2 linked regions of the Rattus norvegicus genome follow. The protein of the gene in region 2 purifies or fractionates together with the protein of the main gene of each other region. This does not show direct contact. Links are inferred from orthologs where the notes say so. Each region holds a gene or a part of one and is shown on either strand. Other genes may lie near its edges.

The links. Proteins that work in one complex are often made in the same cells at the same time.
Region 1: the proteins of Pus10 (region 2) and Abitram purify together in Homo sapiens (affinity purification with mass spectrometry; 3 studies listed by BioGRID and IntAct, counting the BioPlex papers as one, with this or other methods). This does not show direct contact. The link is inferred for Rattus norvegicus from reciprocal best matches to the Homo sapiens genes PUS10 and ABITRAM.

The regions. Positions count from the first base shown.
Region 1 is NC_086023.1:76,298,942-76,304,070, forward strand, and holds the start of Abitram (protein Abitram), read left to right. Parts: upstream 1-2,112; 5' UTR 2,113-2,330; coding exon 2,331-2,445; intron 2,446-3,401; coding exon 3,402-3,453; intron 3,454-3,935; coding exon 3,936-4,065; intron 4,066-5,129. UniProt on the Homo sapiens protein: Actin-binding protein that regulates actin polymerization, filopodia dynamics and increases the branching of proximal dendrites of developing neurons.
Region 2 is NC_086032.1:101,863,705-101,868,067, reverse strand, and holds part of Pus10 (tRNA pseudouridine synthase Pus10), read right to left. Parts: intron 3,532-4,363; coding exon of another isoform or gene 3,458-3,531; exon of another isoform or gene 1,841-3,457; intron 1,835-1,840; coding exon 1,778-1,834; intron 776-1,777; coding exon 699-775; intron 610-698; coding exon 554-609; intron 1-553. UniProt on the Homo sapiens protein: Protein with different functions depending on its subcellular location: involved in miRNA processing in the nucleus and acts as a tRNA pseudouridylate synthase in the cytoplasm.

The DNA.
Region 1 (5,129 bases), on a different chromosome or scaffold from region 2:
TTGCATCCATAGAATCAGGGTAGAAATGATAGACGGTAATAGCAAATTCAGAGGAGTCCCTTCTTCTGATTCTCTGTCTGTGACTACCATCCCAGCAATCTGCCTTTACCTTTACAGGGACCCCAGGTCCCAGACTCTGGTACTGCCAGGGCTAGCCTCATCATTGCCATCCCAGAGGCAGGAGCATTAATCAGGCACGCTGCATCCTCAGACACAGAAGTCCAGCCCCAGGCCTCATCCTGAGTTTCTGGGCATCACTCTAGAGTCTGAGTCCCAGTGTTACAGGGCCTTTCTATGAGGTGTTAGGGCCTGATGATGCCGACATCTGCCCTAGTGTTGCTCCCTTCCCGTGGGAACTGCTTCCTTCAGCTTACCTTCTAAATTACTTGCTTTTCACTTTTTCCTTTCCTTCCTCCTAGAGCAGTTTAAATAATTCTTCATAATAAACCCTGCTGAAATACTGTGTGGCCTCTACTTTTCTGACTGGACCCTGACTGATAAAGCACAGCAAAGCAATCTGAGTTTTTAAAAGAATAGCTCGGGTCAGGTCTGGAAAGATGGCTCAGAGGTTTATTATGAGTGCTGGCTGCTCTTCCAGAGGCCCTGAGTTCAGTTCTCAACACCTACACAGCAGCTAACAAACATCTATAACTCCAGCTCCAGGGAGTCCCATGCCCTCTTCTGGCCTCCGAAGCCACTTCATGCACATGATAAAAGGCAAGCTCATTAGTCTCTCTAATGCCACAATTCTTTTAGCATGAACACTGACTTCTCTAAATTGTCATTCCAACACTCCTCACTCATTTAACTTTTTGGAGTTACATAGCCCTGTATTTTTCTCAGTGCTTTCAAGTTAGGAAAAGAGTATTTTCCAAATGATTGTAGGATCATAATCTGCTAATAGCCTTCCTTTGGCACCTCCTACTGCACCTCCCTGGGTTCCATGAATTCAACTTTTCTCCATCCACACATGTGCCAAAAAGTCCTTTCATACAACTTTGATCATGTCCTAAAATTCTGACCACTGCTCCATTTTCTCCCCGTGGTCCCCTACCTTCAGGCTTAGATAGCTCACTAAAGGGAAGATTAGATAAACCTATATACCTTGTAACTGAACAAGTCCAAACTGAACATTAAACTCACTATCACTCACTATCTCCTGATATTATCATAAGCTGACCCTTACATGCACATGAAATGCAACCTGAAAAACAGAGAACCTGCTGATCTCTTATCAAATAACAGCCTATCCTGGCTTGGGACTCATTGTCATCTCTGTTTCCACAAGCTAAAATTTGCCTACGCCTCTTTTTCTTTCACTTACACATAGAGGTATTCGCTGGTTATATATCATGGTTCTCAACATACAAACGAATCCTTTACACAATACCTAAGATCCGTTATGTGACTTACATCAAAACTTGCCAAATGTTAGGCCCTAGAAACAAAAGACTACACAATCACTGCCATCACAGAAATCCCGGGTTAGGCAAACCAGTTAGGAAAGCAAGAGATACACTGTTCCACAGAAATGACCCAAATGCGAGAAAGGATCCGCAGCACAGCACAAAGGCCTCTATTACCTATCACCTTCACAACGAACTAACCAATTAGCTGGTAGAGGTTTTATCTATATTCTGCAAGGAAACCAGCAATTGGGGAACAGGACCCTCATCCCCCGCAGCTGTGTCCCGCAGCGCCCCAGGTTGGATCCGGAGCAAAAGTATACACAAAACATCCGAAATTCGAAGAGAGAGGCTGTCCACGCTGCCCCGCCCGCGCGCGCAGACAGAGGCGCGTGCATCTTCCCTGCAGCAGGGCAGAACTGGCCCGCAAGACCAGGCCGCACAAAGCAGCTCAGACTGGAACGGACGAATGCTCACCTACAACGCCCTAGCGGAACTGCGCCCTCGCCTCAGTGCGCGGCTCCGAACCCTCACGGTACACTGGGTTTGGAAGGGAAACGCCAAAGCACACGGGAAACAAGAGACACGAACCACCGATGAGCGAAACCCGCCAGGTAGCACAAGAAAGGCGGCGCAGACGTGGTGTCACCCACGAGACGCACTAACTTGACGTCACCAGGTGGGTGTGGCCAGATGCACCGCCTCTGTAGATCCGAGGTCCTAGCCTGGTAGAGACAGAAGGACTTTGCTGTCTGTTGTCCCTCAGCCCTTTGACGCCCAGTTGTATTTGCCCAACAGTTGGACTTTGGCCCAGCAGCGCAAGTGACTGGGGTTGGGAAGGAGGTCGGCTGCGGGCCGGGGAGTCGCGGGCGCGCGCGTGCACAACGTTACCACGCGCCGGAAGTACTCTCCTGGACCAGCGGGATGGAAGAGCTCCCCTGCCCCGAAGCCGGGGTGGTGGCGCCAGAGGTAGTCATGTCTACCGAACCCCCAGCACCCTCCCTTGTAGATCGATACTTCACTCGCTGGTATAAAGCGGGTAAGTGCGGAATGGTGGTGAGCTCTGCTCTACCGCACAGGGTGGATGCCGCAGGTACTTCTGCCACGCGATGTAAGCCACCTGTGCTCTTCCTTGAGTTTCCTAGTCTCAGGATTACAGGTTCTATTTCCGACGTGGGAAGTGCAGTGCCATATGCGGGTTGTTGGCAGGAAAGGACGTGAACTAAACTAAGGAACTCAGCGTTAGTATATCTGGGCTTCCACACACTGCCAAGTGTTTGTGTGCTTGGAAGGATCAATCCTACGCCCAGTCGGGAAGAAACCTTAGGCGTGGAGAGAACATTAAGAGATGTTAAGGAACATCTAATGTTAAGAAGAAGCCGTGGGGGTTGGGGATTTAGCTCAGTGGTAGAGCGCTTGCCTAGGAAGCGCAAGGCCCTGGGTTCGGTCCCCAGCTCTGAAAAAAAAGAACCAAAAAAAAAAAAGAAGAAGCCGTGCATATTGTCCACTGGACGTTTTGAAGTAGGTTTCGCTGGTGTTCTTTGTGCCCAGAAAATACCAATACCACTTTTGGGGACCCTCCTCTAGCCTCTACCTTAGCCTTTTTAATTCAGGGAAACTGGTATGCCCACACACGGCGTTTAGGATAAGCAACCTTCCTAGTTCTCTTTAGGACTGAATTTTCCAAAAATGTGATTTTTTTATAACATCAAGACAGCCCCACAAAACAACACCACAATGTAAGCAACGTGATTCTTATAATAGTGTTTCTCTAATGGAAATAATAGGTCTCATCTTAAAGTGAGAAGATGGAGAAGTTAATAATCTTACCTGCCTTAACATTGAATAAAGGATTCTATCTGGATTAAGCCATTTAAACTACTTAATAGCCTTTATTTACTTTGACCACTGTGATCAGCTTCATAATGAACTATGGTAATCACATGGTAATAGTAAACACTAATTCAACAACCAGCAACTCATTTATTCCTCTAGATGTTAAAGGAAAACCCTGTGAGGACCACTGTATACTCCAGCACTCCAACCGGTAAGCAAACCAGGAATTAGAAATTATCAACACTGTCCTTCTGGTAGTTAGTCTGGTATGGTCTTGGGTTGGTTTTGAGCATTCATGAAATTGTCTTCTACAGTGTTGAAATGATATTATAGGAGTGTGGTGGGAAGAACATGTCTTGTTGGGTCATGTACTGCTTAGCCAACCTGTACCAACCACTGTACTGCTGGACCTATAGAATGGCTCCTTGTGGAGGCATTTGTCATGTTCTGTGTCCACAGTCTTGCCATGCTTCTCTGCTACCCTAGCTTACTAAAGACTTGTACTGCTCCCTTTCCTGGGAAGGAGATTCAACTCTATTCTCTCCTTTTCTGTATTATGTTCCAATCACAGCAGAGATAACTGGACTGAACAACGGTCAGGTTGGATAGTCACCCTCAGCAGGAATACTGTTACAGGAGGAGGTTTCTGGCCGCCATGCCACAACATAGGATTGACTGTTTTTCTCCTTGTAGAATATGCGTCATCACACTGGCAGGATCTCATCCCGTTCTTCAAAGTGGCAAAACTATTAAAAGTATTTCCTATCAGATCAGTAACAATTGTAGCAGACTTCAGAACAAAGTATCTGGGAAATTTAAACGGGTATGTTTCTGTAATCCTGTGATTTTTTTTCTTTTCTACTGAGATTTTCTATATTCATACTATGATGGATCCAGTCAGCCATAAGACTTTTTCTAGCAGTTCAATGTAGGTTTTCAGTAAAAACATGCTATACACTTCCACCCCACACCCCCACACACAAGTGTATCAAGATGTATAGTGTCTATCAGTAGGTTCTTCCCTCCATTCTTCTTATCCTCAAGGGATGAGATGGAAGATGGGCCTTGGCCTTGGCCTGCAATCCCACCTCTTGGGTGGTTAAGGTAGCATAATTGCAAGGGTGAGGCGATATAGGGCTATACAGTGAGTACCAGGTTACATGTAAAACTCTCAAAAACAAAAGAAAGAATCTTGGCTTCAGCTGCCCATGTTCACTGTAGGAAAAATTCTTAAAAAGAAAGCAGTGCATAAAGCATACTCATTCCCTGTTTAGAGATATTTGTCATACTACCCTAGGTGTACCCATCTCCCAGAGTATCTGAAACAATGACCATACATACTGTCAGGAACTGTGTTAAAATGTGGTACTAATAGTGAAAGGAGTTGGGTTTATTTAAACTTTTTTAAAACATTTTTATGTATGTGTCTGTGACACGTGTGTGCGGGAGCCTGCAGAGGTAAGGGGAACTTGTCAAATGCCCTAGAGCTAGTTACAGGTAACTGTCAGCTACCGTGTGGGTACTGAGAACTGAACCTGGGTCCTTCCTAAGAGCAGGAAATAGTCTTACCTTCTGAGCTATCTCCCCAGCCCACCGGTTTTATTTTTTAGTTAGAAAAATCCTAGCAGTAAACCATGTAAAGTTCCTTTACCTATTAATTTCTAATATAAAAGATAGGGCTCTTTTCATTATTTTTAGTTTGTTGTTGTCATCATTTTTGAGACAGGGTTTCACTGTTGCCCTGGCTAGCCTGGACTTAGATGTGTAGACCAGGCTAGCTTCAAACTCAGAGATTCCCCTGAGTTTGTTTTCTGAGCACAGAGATTAAAGCAAAAGCACCCACTCAGCAAAAGATCTTCATGAAAGCAACTTTGCAGGATATTGCTG
Region 2 (4,363 bases):
GGTCTTTGATATATACTTTCATTTCTATTGTTGATGTGATATCTAGAAGTGGAACATCTAGGTCATACGGTCATTGTATGTTTGAGCTTACGAGAGACTGTCAAAGTGGTCGCACTTTCTTTCTTTTTTTTTTTTTTTTAATTCTTTTTTTCGGAGCTGGGAACCAAACCCAGGGCCTTGCGCTTGCTAGGCAAGTGGTCTACCACTGAGCTAAATCCCCAACCCCAAGTGGTCCCACTTTCAACCCCATTAACAACACACAAGGCATTCCTCTATGTCCTTGCCAGCAATTGATATTTTTCTGTTTTTGGTAACAGCCATTCTCCTGGGTGTGGCTGATTTGCACAGCCCTAGTGCAAGATGGTAGGCATTGTTTCATGTTTACTGACTACACATACATCCTCCTTTGAGAAAGGTCTGCTTAATCTCTTTCCCATTTAATTGGGTTGTCAGACTTTTGTTTTCCTTAATAGACTCTGTATGTAATTCCCTTTCACATACATGATCTTTGGAAAGTTTCCTTTTGAACTCACTCTAACACATCCATTCTTACCTGGTGACAAGCTGCAAGTCACGGACTTGGATTTTGTCAGATGATTTATTAATTTTCTGCAGTAGAGAAAGAACAGTTACCGGCTCAGTCCCGCTCAGGCACAGAGCTGACAAACACAGGCCTGGCATGGCCATGCAGCCCTCACCTGCTGCAGCTCCTTAATTTCTTGTGAAGTGAAGTGCACTCGATGAGGATTCAGCAGCTCAACCGCAAAGGGCCTTCCTAGCAGGCACGCCGGCGGGAAACAAAACCGCGTTCACAGAGTTACCATTTGGGCAAATGCAGGAGGTGTGAGAAACAGGCTGAGTTCCAGAGGACTGAGAGGTTAGAGCAATGTGGTGCCCTACATCTGGGGGACTGAAGGACACATGAGTGATGGGGCGTCTGGGCCCTGGAGCAAGGAGGCTGCTCAACCCCATGCAGGCAGTGAAAAGGACTGCGTCCCCAGAGGTCCTCACACAGGCTTGTGCCAACTACAAAACAAAACTTCAGTAGCCACTGACTAAGGTGGATACACTGATGGAACTAACATTGTCCAGAGAGCACTGCCCAGAGACACCAAGGTGAGGTCCATTCTCCCAGCCACTCTTCTAAGTGTGGATGGGTGGAGAGGGAGAGGGAGAGAGAGAGAGAGAGAGAGTCTTTGTTTGCTTCTGAGACAGGTTCTATCTGTATAGCTGTGGCAGTACTGGAACTCACTATGTAGGCCAGACTGACCTAGAACTCAAGAGATTTACCTGCCCTGTCTCACCAGTACATCACCATGCCCAACCCTGAGTTAGTCAGTCTCTGTCTCTCATGCGCGTGTGCACGCACGCACACACACACACACACACACACACACACACACACACACACACACACACTCTAAGACATGACTTCTCTAGGTAGCCCTGACTGTCCTCAAACTACATCTGCCTGCTTCTGCCTCCCAAGTCCCAAGTGCTGGGATTAAAAGTGTGTGCCTGAGAAGCTCTTAAATGGAATAACTAATAAACTTTGAGGGAAAGATTTCCTTCTTAAGGCACATACAGTCATCACAGCCTGCAGGCTTCCGGTAAGAAAGCCTCCAAGGAAATGACTGTCGTTTCAGACAAAGCCCATAGTCTGCAAAGGCAGCTGCATACTGCACAGGGCTCCCCATCTGCAGGATCCTGGCCCTCCCTTGGTTCTGAGCGGCTATAGTAGCAGGCAGGTTCTAACCAGGTTAGAACGCCATCTTACCATTTCCTAAAGTTCTCACATCTACATCTTCTCGTCCAGAGGATGAGAAATTAAAACCTGTAAGAGAAAAAGATGAGACCCAGCAGCTCTGCAATTCTTTGTTCCAACCTGTGGTAGAAATCATCCCAGCAATCCACAGGAGGTGACCTCAAGGGGTGAGGTCCACCCCATCTCTAATCTCAATCTTGGCTAAAATAGTAATGGTAATAATAAAAAAATCTATGCCCCTTGCTGGGGTAAAACTATACACATCACTTTAATTCCTATTATAACTTCACGAAGCATTAAACAAATGAACATTAAATTCCGTAGATTTAGGCAATATTCCCAGGGCCAAACAACCCAATGGCAGAGCTACACAGTTCTGATGCCAGAGCCGGAGTTCAGCTAGCACCTATGCCCCATTCTCACGGAAAGTCAAGGCTAGGAGGAAGGCCCATCTTCCTGGCCACTGGCTCTCTGCAAAAACTTTGTCTTTTTTCTCTCAAGTAAGCAAGTCTAACATGAGCAATCATGTTAAAATTAAACGCTATGGGAAGAAATTGAGAGAAAGATCTACCCTTTAAATAGCAAATTAGTTACATAACCAAACCCACCATGGAGCCATGCTAAAACCATGCATAACCCAAGATGAATTTATCCTCACAGACCAAACACTGAAAACGTCAAACAGGGGGATGGGTTTTAAAGATCTACATAACGAAGCACACAGGTTCAGATCAAGGGAAGCTGTCACTGCCACAGCAGCCGCCATTGCAGACATGGTGCTCTCCATCTTCCTTCTAAGGAAGGTGGACAGGCAGGACAGGATTGACAAATGCAGATCTGGTCGCAAGGCTGGTGGATCCAGCACTCTGACACCAGAACCCATTAACCACTCAGTCAGACTGGAACCAGCGAGACAGGAGCAGAGGATCGGGTTGAGGACTGAGAGGGGCTGGGACGCATTGGCTGCCCTGAGCAGCCTCTACAGTGCTGAACCAATGTGGGAGACCATCAGAGTCCTGCCTCACAAAGGCACTGCTGCATTCCCTCAGGATGTCTGCTATGGCAACACACTGTGCTTGATGTCAGAGACAAAGATGTTTGCAGTCCGCATCCTCAGAGAGAAGCCACTGCTGGAAAAGTCTGATGTGACATGTAGACACAGGGTAGGAGACAAATGTAAGAGCCCCCTGCACACACATTCCTGCGACGGAGCGCAGTTCCACATCCCACCCTTTATTCTGTTTACTGTTATGTTACATGTGGATATGTCTGTGTGACGCGTTATGGTACCGGCATGTACCATGGTGTTCACGTGGAGGTCAGAGGACAGTGCAGGTCAGCTCTCTCCTTCTACCATGAGGAGCTGGGGACCAGACCGAGGCCACCAAGCTTAGCAACACATGTCTGAGCCATGTCACCAGGTCTCTTTAGAAAATGTTTCAAACTTGAAAGCTAAGAAAACAAATGGAGCCCTAGATGGAACCTGGAAGCCATTTATGGGGGAAGCCTCCAGACCTTGTGAAGTGTGTGATGAGGACTAGTTGGGGGAGAAGTCTGTAGTACTAGAGAATACACGCTTAAAACTTACTTTTCTGAACCGGAATTGTGACTTGCCTTGTCCCCTCTAGTTCTACATCTTAAGGAAATGTCAAAGGAAAGGTCATGCCAAAAGCAAATGAAGAACGAGGATTATCAGGGACCATTAAGTGGTAGGCCCGCTCTGCGGTGGCTCTCAGACCCAGGGCAGACGGCTGAAGGCTTGAAGGCTGCAGGAAGCCAAGACACAAGGCTTTGACCACAGGGAACTGGCCCAACAACCGTTATTCAGCAAATAAGGCAGTGAATGTAGTGGTAGGGAAAAGCTTCCTTGATTCATGGACCTGGAGAATGCGTCAATACGCAGTACTTATTACCTACAGCATTAGCAGGCACACTAACAGGATGGACTAGTTCAAAGCAACCGAGAGACAAGTGTATCTGCCCTCCTTAGGAGGCAGACGGCTGTGTAGGAAGCAAGGCCGCTCCATTCAACACTGGTTTGTTCCATACACTGTCAAACTCAAGGACGTAACCTTCAAGCTCGTCTTCCCAGAGCCCTCAGATATGAACCACAGATCAGAAGTTACAAGCCACCCAGCTGAGAGACATGGCTGGCCAATGATGGTCATCAACCCGGGATTCTGGACAAGCTTATAACCGCACACCACTACCACACAGGAGCCAGTCACATGCAGGCCCAGACGACTGCTGTCTCTCAGCAGCTTGTCAGTTTCTCAGGGAGCACACTGAGCAGACAACCTATTTTTGTTTGTATGTTTGGTTTTTTGCTTGTATGTTTTATTTTTTGTTTGTTTTTTGAGACAAGATTTGAGTATCCCTGGCTGTCCTGGAACTCTCTATGTAGACCAGGCTGGCCTCAAACTCACAGACACCCACCAGCCTCTGCTTCCCAGAGCACTAGGATTAAAGGTGTGAGCCACCACCACCTGGTCTGTTTGTTCTGAGGTTCCTGTTGTCGAGAGTGGGTCCCACTGTATACTTCTGGTTGTCCTGGACCCTTAGAGATCAGACTGACTCCGCCTCCTCAGTGTTGGGGTG